3 linked regions of the Schizosaccharomyces pombe genome follow. Changing the gene in region 1 together with any one later gene gives a genetic interaction. Each region holds a gene or a part of one and is shown in the gene's direction. Other genes may lie near its edges.

Region 1 (4,371 bases):
CAGTTTGAAGGCTTTTTGCTAGACGAAGAATCTGGAGAAGTTTTGCCAGTATCCGATTATTGTAACGAAATTCGAAACAATAGCAAATGGGGAAGTGATATTGAAATACAGGCATTAGCAAACTCTCTTGAGGTTCCTGTTCATGTCTACAACACAGAAGGTCCAGTTTTAAAGTTTAACCCCTCAACGGTCAAGTTCGAAAAACCGTTGTGTATAGCATATTACCAGCATTTGTTTGGGCTTGGCGCTCACTATAATAGTTTATTATATCGGGACAATTAAAAAGATCTAATGAGATGCTTTAGATAGGTTTTTATCCTTTGGTTTATTAGCTTCCTTCCTCGCCGGAAACCATTTAAAAAGGCTGTGCCTTACGAGTTAGATTATATGAATAATATTTATGAATTAAAACTCTTCTGTATTCTATTAATCAAAAAAAAAAATTAGCCATTATTATCTATCATATCCAGTCATATAGTATGCACAATAAATATTACCAAACATGCTTAGAAAGCTTCATCAGGGAAGCATTAGAAACGGTAGAACAATAAATAGAATTAAGGTAGAACATTACTTGTAGCTGTAAGGGGGTGGTGCCTCATCACTTTTTCTTGGAGGCGGTATATGTGGTTGAGGACGAACGTTAGGAATATCGGTTTGTTGCGAACTTGAGCCAGGAAAAAATGCATGCTGTTGAGCACTCGCCTCAGGTCTTTCGGGAGTAGGAAGATCTTCACGCCTGCGCCTTTGATCAATCATGGCCGAATCTACTGGTTCATACCACCCACAATGAGAACAACGAAGTACCTGCTCTGAGTTAGCAAGTGAGTGCTTATTAGTTGGACAGCAAAATAATCCCAACTTTCCCTGGAAAGCATGTAACATTGAAGATTGAAGAATGGCTTAGAAAATAACAAACAAGGTCTGTCAGGTTTCCAAACAATGATAAGTAGAAAGGGTCAACTACATAACATATGCTTTCTTGAATTCCCTTACCTTACTCGTATAAACCGGGAGAACAGGCAAAACGATGAGTGCTAAAGATTTAACCAAACGATATACCCGAACTAAAAACCAAAGTTTTACGTTAACATTAATAAAACAACCCAAAGAAAGAGCAATTGCCTTCATGCAACTACACCACTTATATGTGTCTCATACCAGTTTTATTTTGGCTAAAAAGAAAGTATTAGCAAAAAGTGCTGATGAAAAGAATAGAAGGAAAACAAGAAGACTGCTAGAAACTATTTTTAAATGACAAATTTTAATAAAAAACAAGTGCGTAATTTCTGAAAACAAAATGTTTCTACAATTGTTCCATTTCCACTTCGCCATTTAAACAATGTACTCAATCCACTTGTTTTAACACTAATTCATTGATTTCATACCATACAGGACATGTCAGTAAGACGTGCTTATATTTGCTATTGACTTTCCATATGTCTTGAACATTCAGCGGTATCGGCAAGAAGAGGAACATCTCACGTTAAGAGTCTTAAAATCTTCTTTAAAAAAAAAGAAAAGAAGTTGGATATTATAATGAATAATTCGAGTTAAATCCAAAATATTCGTTTTAGCAGAGTCACTCCATTAGTACGTAGACTAAGCCTCACAGTTAGTGTAATATCACAGAAAATATTTTCGTTAGCTTTATCGCTAAATACATAAAAGAATATCATCACAAAAAGAGGTATTGCTAACGAACTACGGTGCGTCTCTATATTTAGAAGCAACACCAATAACTTCAAAAAATGAAAGCAGAAAATTCGTAGAGAAGAAATTTTCTAATCTTGCATCCCAAGTCAAATCATGTATTTGTGTCTTTAATTAGTAAATATTAGGATAATCGTTGATTTGAAGTATTAAAAAATTGATTGTATTTTGGAGCGCAAATCTGAGATTTTTTTTATAGATTAAAAAATTCTCCTTGATACGGTCATTTTCGGTTGACTTGTGTTCAAACTCTTTCTATAAAAAGAGGTTCTTTTTCTAAGAGAATCCCTGCCGAGTTTCCTTAAGTTTTAGAAAGGTAAAGGGCTGGTCGACGTCTTTTCACATTGTTGGTGCCAAAAACAAAATTTTCGAGACAAATAACTGGGTTCGTGGTGTATATTTTAACAAATTATCGTTTATTTTAATTTTCTGTATTTCGTTATTATATACCGTTTTTTCGTGCTCGTTTCATCTTGTATCGTTCTTGACAATTTCTGTATCTTCACTTTTTGGATTTATTTGTTTGGATGCGTGGCATAGAATAATCATGTCGAATTCGTTAAATGATCAAACACGACCACCCGATTCAAGTGTTGTAGACAGTACATCTTCCAACTTTCCAAATGCGTCAAACGATAGTGTACATGATAAACCGGTAAAACAGGACGAACAATCCAATCCAAATGTTCGCGAAGCAATTGCTAATTCCGATGGACAAGAATCTTTAGCTGTAAAGGAAAACAAGGATACGGAAAGCTCATCCTCTCATTTCGTACCTAACGGAGTTTCAAATTCTAAAAAGAGAAAGCTCGTGGCTACAGATTTAGATGTTGATTTTGATATTAGTAGTGTACGAGTTACTGAAAAGCCATCTGTATTAGAAGAAAAAAGCGGCGTTATTCAATTTCGTGTTGTTTCTAACGACGACACCGCCGACAGTATGATCATGTTGACTGGTTTAAAAAACATATTTATGAAACAACTTCCTAAAATGCCAAAAGAATACATTACGCGGCTAATTTATGATCGAAACCATCTTTCAATGACCATTGTCAAAGATAATTTACATGTAGTGGGCGGTATTACTTATCGTCCATTTGAACAACGAGGATTTGCCGAAATTGTATTTTGTGCGATTGCTTCCAATGAACAGGTTCGTGGTTATGGTTCTCATTTAATGAATCATTTAAAGGATTATGTCCGTGGAACTACTACAATTCAGCACTTCTTGACATATGCAGATAACTATGCAATCGGGTATTTTAAAAAACAAGGATTTACTAAGGAAATTACTCTTGACAAGTCTATATGGGTTGGCTATATTAAGGATTACGAAGGTGGCACACTTATGCAATGCACCATGATTCCAAAAATAAAGTATTTAGAAGCTAATCTGATTTTGGCTATTCAGAAAGCTGCTGTTGTTTCCAAAATTAACAGGATCACTCGGTCGAACGTTGTTTATCCTGGTTTAGACGTATTCAAAGATGGTCCAGCTCATATAGAGCCGTCTCAAGTTCCTGGGTTGATGGAAGTTGGATGGTGCAAGGAAATGGAAGAGCTCTCCAAAAAGCCCAGACCTAAACCTTTTTTTGCCGTTTTGGAAATGCTTTTTACAGAAATGCAAAATCATCCGTCTTCCTGGCCCTTTATGCAACCGGTTAGTAAAGAGGATGTACCCGATTATTACGAAGTTATTGAACACCCCATGGACCTTTCGACTATGGAATTTCGGTTGCGTAACAACCAGTATGAGTCTGTAGAGGAATTTATTCGGGATGCAAAATATATATTTGATAATTGCCGTTCTTACAATGACTCCAACACGACTTACTATAAAAATGCCGATAGATTGGAAAAGTTTTTCCAGAAAAAACTTCGTGAAACTGAGTATTCACACTTAGCCGATTAATCATTTACATTTATTATCATCGAAACGTCTATTCCGAAGTTTTATTGATTATAACATATACATTTCACCTTTTAATTTTTTACACGAATATCTTTTGTGCCTTCCAAATATGCTGGCATATCAAGAACTGCTAGTGTTTAATTTTTAGTTTTTTTGTTTAAAAATATATATAATTCTATAATACCAAACACTCTTTATGTTCCATAATAACAAATGTACAACTCATTAAATTGAAAATATGTTATCAGAACAAGTCATGATTTTATTACACAGATGCTTGCATAGATCCAAGTAAAACAGTAACCATAGGTTTTTCGTCAATTCTGTAGTAAGAGTCGTTGGCCTCCACCTCTTCGGACTCCACCGTCGGTTCTTCAAGGTTTTCATGATAATTTTTTAGAGCATCAGTCAACTCATCAATTGGAATGGATGCTTCGGAAAACAGCATCTTAATTTTTTTCAATGTCACTGTATTTTCAACGCATAACCACGAAAGGATAAGAACTGTAGATTGGAAAGGAAACAGTCCATGATCAATTTGTTGGAGAAACCATTTGGTACTCTTTTCCTCCGAATCAGGACTAAAATCAAGTTTTCTGCTTTGGTCAATACCTTTGAGTTGGATTCTCAAGCGATCGTAAATTTTGAAAAGGCGTTTCATTTTTTCAAAGTCATTTTCAATGAATTTCCGTAAAAAGCGCACCCTTTCTACGGTGTCAGCAGGTAAAGATCGAAATAAAGATGCC
Region 2 (3,679 bases), on another chromosome or scaffold:
AGATCAATATCTCCAAGGAATTTTTTAGAAATTGTACAGTCATTGAATAGAGATTTCTCCATCGATGGCCAATGCGATGCTCAAGAATTTTTAAATTTCTTTCTTGATAAACTTCATGAAGATTTGAACTCCAATGCATCTCGGTCTCCGATAGCACCGTTGACGGAAGATCAATTAAGTGCCAGAGAAGAACTCCCATTGTCCCACTTTTCACACATTGAATGGAACTTGCATCTCCGGTCTAACAAGAGTATTGTGGTCAACAATTTTGTAGGTCAACTTTGCAGTCGTACTCAATGTATGACATGTGGCCGCACATCTACTACTTTTGCTCCCTTCACATCGCTTGCGATACCGATTGACGATGTCTCCCATGTAGTAAGCCTACAAGAATGCTTATTAAAATTTTCAGCTCCTGAACTCTTGCAAGGGCATGATGGATGGCATTGTCCCGTGTGCAAGGTTCAAAGGTCGGCAAAAAAAGTAATTATGATTTCGAAACTACCTGAATATTTGATCATACAAATTCAGAGATTTAAAATATCCGTAATGGGTCGTAAAAAAATTGATACACCACTTGGATTGAGCTTACAGATTCCAAGTAAAATGCTGGTACCACCGAGTTTCCAATCGGGAATTGGTTATATTCCTAGCAATTATAACCTGTTTGCATTTATCTGTCATTATGGCCAGCTCGAAAATGGACATTATATATCTGATGTACTTTTTAATAATGAATGGTGCCATATTGATGACTCAATTGTTCGAACAGTGGGCGGTATTACTGACTTGAGAGAAGATTTCTCCTCTTCCTACATTCTTTTTTATAAACGCTCAAGTCTGTTGGAGGAGTTTGAAGATAAGTGTCCCAAAATGACTTTGAAAAGAAATGTTAAATAAAACAAAATAAAAAAAGGAAAAATGTTTTCAATAAACCTCAAATATAGTTATTGAATAAATGTTCAACTTAGCATTCATAACCGATATGAATACTTACTTAATGCTGATTACCCAACACAAAAGCTACTCTCGTTATGTTGAACAGAATGCAGGAATTGGATACAAAATTTTTTCATCCTAGAATTTTTTTTAAACAAAGATGGTTTTTTTCTTCAAGATTGATCATATTCTTTTAAGGAAGATTTTGTTCTTAACTTTCCAGACTTTTTCTTTTTAAACACCACTTTGTTTTCATTTGATTCCTTGCTTTCTAGCGATTTGTTTCCCTCGTTTTCAGCTAACTTAGGTACTTTATCTAAGTTTTTTGGTTTTACCCGAAAATGAAATGAAGATCTTTCTTCTTTTTCGATGATCTCTCTGTTTCTTTTCAAAGAGGTCCCTGGTAGAGACTCATTTTTATTAGTAGTTGTTTCCTTGGTTTCTTCATTTTCTTCTTGCTTTGCTAGCAATGTAGGAATATAGCTGGTATGAGTAGTAGAGATGGTGTCAGTCTCCGTAGAACTTGTAGGAATATCCCAATCATCCAAAGTAGCTTTTTTTTTAGAGGGACGTAATTTTGGATGCTCCTTTTTTGGTTTCTCATACGATGCTAGTTCAGATGACACCGCTGAAGCAGTGGTAGCAGTAGCTGATTTTGGTATAGATAAATTCTTCTCAAGTTCCTGCCTTAAAAGGTTGGAACGATGAATATCATCCATTACTTTTTTAATAGCATCCTGATGTTTATAAGTTTGCTCATGGCTCCGTCGCGCAAATGGTGTATCTTTCACGAACTGTACTGTTAGTAGGATTCTATTAATTTCACCACTTTAGAAATAATTTTTGGATGTTATAGAAAAAACTTACTATTTGGCAATATTTACAATAATATTTTGGAATACTTTTCCAGTAATCAGCCATTCTGAATATTAATAGGAGATACGCACTAAATACATACTTAAAACTTATTTACCCATATATTTTTCTCAGGAAACCCACCTTTTAGCATACCGTTATTTAGTAATGACAACAGTTTCAATTACTTTTGACTTGTTGTCGTCTATGCAACCAAGAAAATGGCTGAAAAATCAGAATTTTGTTGGTGAAATTACCTCTCTCAGTTTTGACGACAGTGGAGAGTTGTGCTTGGCGTCGTGTACTGATGATACTTTACAACTGTATAACTGCATTTCTGGAAAGTAAGTACTTCTTAAATTCACTTTTGAAACCTGTTTGGCTAACTGACCATGAACTTCTAGATTTGTGAAATCACTTGCAAGCAAAAAGTACGGAGCACATTTAGGTCGGTTTACTCATCATTCAAATTCATTAATACATGCTTCCACAAAGGAAGACAATACCGTTCGTTATTTAGACGTTGTGACAAATCGGTATCTTCGATATTTTCCTGGCCATAAGCAAACAGTGACTTCAATCGATGTATCACCAGCAGATGAAACTTTTTTAAGCGCTTCTTTAGATAATACTATTCGCCTTTGGGACCTTCGGTCTCCAAATTGCCAGGTATGAGTATAACAATTACTGATAATCAAACTAACTAGGAATACGTAGGGTTTGCTCAATGTTAGTTCACCCGTTGTTGCAGCTTTTGATGCTACAGGACTAATCTTTGCCTCAGTTAGTGAAAGAAAATACAAAATTTCTCTTTATAACATTAAATCATTTGATGCTCGCCCATTTCAAGACATTCCTTTAACATTCCTGCCCCCTCATGTCCGCATTGCAAATGTGGAATTCAGTACTGATGGTAAATATCTATTGCTAACAACTGGAAATGATTTTCATTACGTTATAGACGCTTATAGTGGAAGTGAATTATTAAGAGTTCCTTCAAAGGTTAGCACAAAAACCCAAGATGGAAATTTGACTTATTATGCTTCAGCTTGCATGTCTCCAGATAGTAAATTTCTTTTTACTTCATATGATAATGAGCATCTTTGCATGTATCAACTACCAGAACTGAAACAAACTGTTAACTCGGATCACATTGTTAATTCATTCACCGAAATGGGCCTAGCATCAACTACTCCGACCAGCAATAGTCATTCAACAGAGAACCCGCTAGCTATCATTCCTTCTTCAACATCTAAAAACCTTTTACCAGAAACACCTTCTATTGTTCGCTTTAATCCACGCTTCTCTCAATTAGTTACAGCACATTCTGGAGTAATTTTCTGGACGTAAAATTGTTTTTGTGTCTTAACAAACCACGAAAAAATGAATATTATATTATACTATTATTAAAAACAATTTCATAAAAAAACTTCATAACTATTATTTAAAAGGGGGAAAAAATGAGTCCTCTATTTTAAATGACACCTGAATGACTTAGAAGACTTAAACAAAATAAAAAAAGGTAAAGTAATATTAGTTTTGAATCGAGATTAGGTTCGTAATAAACGCTTCACAAAGTGTCCAAATTTTGAGTTTCTAAATCCATGATGGGAATTCCCCAAATCATAATCAACACACAAGACAATAGTCATACCTGCCATGTTGGTAGCAATTATTATATCAATCGGATGTACAGGAGGTGTTCCATATGATCTGTGACTATGAGGTTTTACTAGATTGTATCCTTCTGCAATTAAACTGCGATCATGTTCCGACTCTTTAGCTTCGACAGCAGTCCTTGCTGGTGCAATGATGGTCGAAGTCAGTCTCTCACTACAAACCTTGAATGTTTCCGTGGGCAAATGGAGAATGACAGAGCGTTTTC
Region 3 (4,596 bases), on another chromosome or scaffold:
AGAGAAAACCCCTGCGCGTTTCTTGATCTTTTCAAAACTATAGTCTCATGAAGAGATTGCAGTGCTGAGCTGTGCTGATCTAGAGCTATCAGCTCATCGGCAAGCTAATTTATGTTAGTCAAAGTAAGTAAAAAACTCATAATACATACCCTTAGCACATTTTCGGGCTTTCCTTGAGGAGGTGCCATGTTGTGCAGTTGAAAACTTCCCCCTTGTCGTAGTAAAATTTTATTACACGAATAGCGAGCTACCTCGCAGTTTTATATAAGCCACTAAACAAGAGGTACTTAATTCTTGATTTTGCAAAAAAAAATGTTAGCACATGCATATATATATAGTTAGTTGTTCATATCTTTCTTAGGTTTGACTTGAATAAGCATCACTTTTTGTGCAAAGAAATTAGTGGTTTACCGAATACGATAATATGACTAAATTTGAATAGATCGCCTAGTGTGAAGTGCTAACATACTCGTTAATCTATCATGTTTGTTTAAAAAATACCAGTTCAGTTTAGAACAGAGGAAAGCTCTATTTTTGCTTTTATTTGAACGTTTATGGGATAGTAGTCAGATTTTTCTGTTGCCGCTACTAATTACTATCGTTACACAATGTACATCCAAGAAATATTAGTACCGTTATAGTTTTGGAATTTTAGCCGTAGATCTGTTTCTACGCTAATCACCAAGTCCATTCTTTGTTTGATGTATTTGGTGATAAAACTAGTTAGTTCTTAAAATAATCTTTATTGCCGTTGAGTCGATACTCGCTTGAGTTCCTCATCAGGGCTTATGCATTGTTTTATACTTGTAGCATTGTCTAAACTCTTATTTACAATTGGCAACAAACTTATATAAACGTTGAGACCTTACCAGTGAAAGAAGTGTGGTTTGAGCGAAATATTTTCCGAGCCAATCTAAAATTTAAAGTGTTATCCTTGAAAAGTAGCAGAAACTCGCATTACTTTTACTCAAAGCTTGAATAAAGGAAGAAAGATTTAGCGAATATAGTTTGTCAAAGTATTATAATAAAGAGGTCATAACCCTATGTATTCCGAAAGATTTTTTTGTTAAAAAACGCTAAGTCCTCAATCTCTTCGACGCTAGGTAAACTCTAGAGGCCCATTTTGATGAAGCAATTTAATTGTGATTGGTGTAAATGTTAGACTTCTAGAAGAATAAACTAAGTGAAGTATTCGTTGATGGCGGGTACAAAAATATTAGCTTATAAACTATTCACAAAGATTCTTGAAAGGGCTTTTTATCAAGCATCTCGAAAATCTTTGTACTTTCACATCAACTGTATATAATTGTAACTCTTACATTTCCGTAAAATGCAAAATCACGCTTTCCAATTTCCTCTGGTTTTCTTTGAAAACAACACCAATAAATATAAAAAGAGAAAGAACGGGAAGAATAAATTTACCCCTTCCTATGTCCAAACTATTTTCATTTCAGAGTTCAACTGTTTACAATCATCTTTTTATTTCGGTCATTCACGTTACCCCCGCTTATTCTGCTTAATCATCAGCGGCAGAATGCACTATTGAAGTTTAAGCAAAATTGCACCTTTTTCTCGTAAATATAGTTACACCATGAAAGAAATGTAAAAAAGATAGTATGGTAAATCTATCTTGTAAAAGGCTTTCATGCAAACCTTCCGACTTACTTCTACTGGTCGAAATATTCTAAGACCCGATGAACTTGCTTTTCAGCCGAGAGAAGAGATTCCCTATAAATCTTTCCATCCAGACCTACAAATAGACGAACCTTTGGAAATATTAGAAGGTGACCATACACAATATGCAGGCCTTCGTGATTCTTTAGTAACCTATAAATCCGAGAATTCTTATGTGCTTAAAGCTTTGCTCAATGCCAAGATCGAAAACGTAAAGCCAGTAGGTGTTCAAACGGAAAATATTAATCCACAAGAGAAAAAATTTGGATATAAAACTGCGAAACAATTAGATTGGAGTCCAGACGAATATTTCAAGTTCGTTGCTATACATCCTTACTCAAAAACGTCCTTTCCTGTATCCTACGACTTGGATGAGTTAGACACAATGTGGTTAACATATTATAATGAGTTTCAACTTTCATCTAATTCAGAGTGGGAAAATGTTTCTAAAGAATTTTTAGAAATAGTTCTTACCATTATTGAACGCGAATGGCTTTATCTAGAGGCTTGGATGCCTAAGATTGAACCCGTCAGAGTGGAGGATGAACTAGATGGTCGTTGTGTTATTTGTAATGAAGCAGAATGCGAAAACAGTAATGCTATAGTTTTTTGCGATAACTGTAACACTTCTGTTCACCAGAATTGTTATGGAATCCCTTTTGTTCCAGAGGGTCAATGGTTTTGTAAGAAATGTTTACTAGCCCCTCATGAAGTTATATGCTGTGCTTTTTGTCCTGACAGAGATGGTGCGTTTTGCACAACCTTGGATGGACGTTGGTGCCACACAATTTGCGCCATAGCAATCCCTGAAATATCTTTTCACGACACTAGTAGATTAGACTTGGTTCGAAACATTGCTTCAATCCCAAAGTCTCGCTGGAAATTGGTGTGTTGCATTTGTAAACTTCGATGGGGTACTTGTGTGCAATGCTCAGATAAAAATTGTTATGCAGCTTACCATATAACTTGTGCTCGACGTGCAGGTTTTTTTTACAAAATATACTCACATTCTGCAAGTTATGATAGTGTTGATATGGAAACTTATTGTGATAAACATACTCCACCCGATTATTTAAACGGATTGATGAAGCGCTTGTTTCCGTTAGCTGAATTATATTACAAACGCATGGCTACAGACGTTCCACTCAACTTCCAAGCTACTAAAGCGCCTGATTTTGTGCCCGAAGGGCCATGGAAATCGCATCCATTACCGGCTTTTATTGTTGATAAAGTTACCAAAGTTTTATTGTCTTATAATGTTAAAAGGCAAGATCTGCCCTCCATAGTAACTGACATCTGCAAATTTTATCACATGAAACGCCGATCCCGAAAGGATGCGCCATTGCTTAAATCGCAACTCCTTATGGATAGTCTTGAAAATCTCCCGGTGAGGGCTTCTAAAGATCGCGTTAGGTCTTTAGAAGTAGCGAAGGCTCTACAAGATCAATATCAATCATTGCTTACTCTTGTAGAATCTACTGCTAAACGGCAATTATTAAAATGTCAATTATCAAACTTAAGAAAAAAATTTTTGAATTTAAACTATTTTCCTGCTCAACGGTTATTACAGGATACCCTTGTTAAAATTATAGATCTCGATGTCGATGGTCTTTTCAATATGCCGCTCGATAATGGATGGATTGGGTGGGTTGAATTAAAAAGACAAGTATTCAGTTATCAGATCGGCAGTATTAGCTCTCTAGAAAAGAAACTTGAGCCTATTTGGGATGTTGATGGTGTAATACAGTGTATTGATGATATGGAACAATTAACTGCCATGGTTCAGTTTGCACAAAAAACAGAAGGAGAAGTGAAAAAACTATTTATTAAGGCAAAAATATACTTTGAAAGTTTGAGTCTTGATGAAAGAGGGAATCTCAAAGTACCCTCTCTCGGTATTAACGGACTTGAGTATGATAACTGGCCCGGTTTAAACGAGCTTGAAATGAGTCAACTGGATATTCCTTCACAGGGAAATCTTAAGTCCTTACATGATTTTATTGAGGGTTTAGATTTGAATGAAAAAATAGGGAAATTTCCCATTTCTATGTTCCAAAATCAGGTTGCTCAGTTTTCGACAATTGAAATTCCTAAGATGTCTGGACGTGCTAACGGAATGCATAACTTCCATTCAGAAGATGTTACAGGACAAAGCAATCATGCTTTACCAAACAGTGTAACTAAAAAAAATGGCACCAAGCAACCATATACCAAAAATTCGCTTCCCTTTAATGAACGCATCACAAGATCTAAAGCCAAGAAAAACTATTCATGATACTGAAATTATTGTTAAGTTAGTTCATCGTTGCTTTAGTACCTATGACCAATTATTGATATCGAAACTTTATAATATCTAAAACCGTTAATTGTACATTTTAGTTCCGAATAGTTAATTTATTAATATTTTTCAAAAGCAATTTTTCTTAAATTTTCACGCAGTGAAATAGTCATCAAATACACTCACGCTCGTACCCAACAAAGATATTGCTAGACTAGCTTAGTGTGTAGTCTATTAGTAATCATTCTCGGTTTATATATAATCTGCTGCTCCTTTAAAGCGTTTCTATTTGGTATTTCTACTAAGTTACCGACTGTACTAACATATTACGTTACACACACTATCAGTCGTTGTTACATTATTAATCAAGAGTTAACAAATGACCCATAACACTATGCTTCAAAGATTTAATGGTTTATTAGAGCCTACACATTTGTATATTGTATCTGTTGTAGCTTATTCAGCTTGCAACCGACCGGATAAAATAAGTGGGATAGCTAAGGAAGCAATGGAGCATGTGGGACCAAGTATTTATCCAAAATTAAGAGAAGCATTAGTAAAATCATCTCCATTAGTTGGATTTCCTAGAGTATGATTATAATGATCATGTTTTCTTCGATTTCACTTCAGGTGATGCGAAGATA

Evidence for each region.
Region 2: mutations in gcn5 (region 1) and swd2 together harm fitness more than expected from each alone (negative genetic interaction), as found in Schizosaccharomyces pombe (2 studies listed by BioGRID).
Region 3: mutations in gcn5 (region 1) and nto1 impair growth when combined (synthetic growth defect), as found in Schizosaccharomyces pombe (4 studies listed by BioGRID, with this or other methods).

Annotation. Positions count from the first base shown.
Region 1 is NC_003424.3:4,971,856-4,976,226, forward strand, and holds gcn5 (SAGA complex histone acetyltransferase catalytic subunit Gcn5), read left to right. Parts: upstream 1-1,768; 5' UTR 1,769-2,260; coding exon 2,261-3,625; 3' UTR 3,626-3,843; downstream 3,844-4,371. Other genes in the region: OUT family ubiquitin-specific cysteine protease Otu2, read left to right, coding at 1-282; SPOM_SPAC1952.04C (uncharacterized protein), read right to left, coding at 571-807, 997-1,067, 1,162-1,175, 1,389-1,480; SPOM_SPAC1952.06C (uncharacterized protein), read right to left, coding at 3,891-4,371.
Region 2 is NC_003423.3:1,781,440-1,785,118, reverse strand, and holds swd2 (Set1C complex subunit Swd2.1), read left to right. Parts: upstream 1-1,899; 5' UTR 1,900-1,962; coding exon 1,963-2,138; intron 2,139-2,198; coding exon 2,199-2,463; intron 2,464-2,511; coding exon 2,512-3,144; 3' UTR 3,145-3,174; downstream 3,175-3,679. Other genes in the region: ubiquitin hydrolase Ubp4, read left to right, coding at 1-900; wbp4 (WW domain-binding protein 4), read right to left, coding at 1,113-1,733, 1,807-1,860; SPOM_SPBC18H10.05 (WD repeat-containing protein), read right to left, coding at 3,345-3,679. UniProt on the Schizosaccharomyces pombe protein: The Set1 complex specifically methylates 'Lys-4' of histone H3.
Region 3 is NC_003423.3:3,309,930-3,314,525, reverse strand, and holds nto1 (histone acetyltransferase complex subunit Nto1), read left to right. Parts: upstream 1-1,616; 5' UTR 1,617-1,645; coding exon 1,646-3,949; 3' UTR 3,950-4,091; downstream 4,092-4,596. Other genes in the region: tif301 (translation initiation factor eIF3a), read right to left, coding at 1-104, 150-188; carboxymuconolactone decarboxylase-like protein, Pxp2, read left to right, coding at 4,332-4,541. UniProt on the Schizosaccharomyces pombe protein: Component of the mst2 complex which is a highly specific H3 lysine 14 (H3K14) acetyltransferase that functions together with gcn5 to regulate global levels of H3K14 acetylation (H3K14ac), critical for DNA damage checkpoint activation.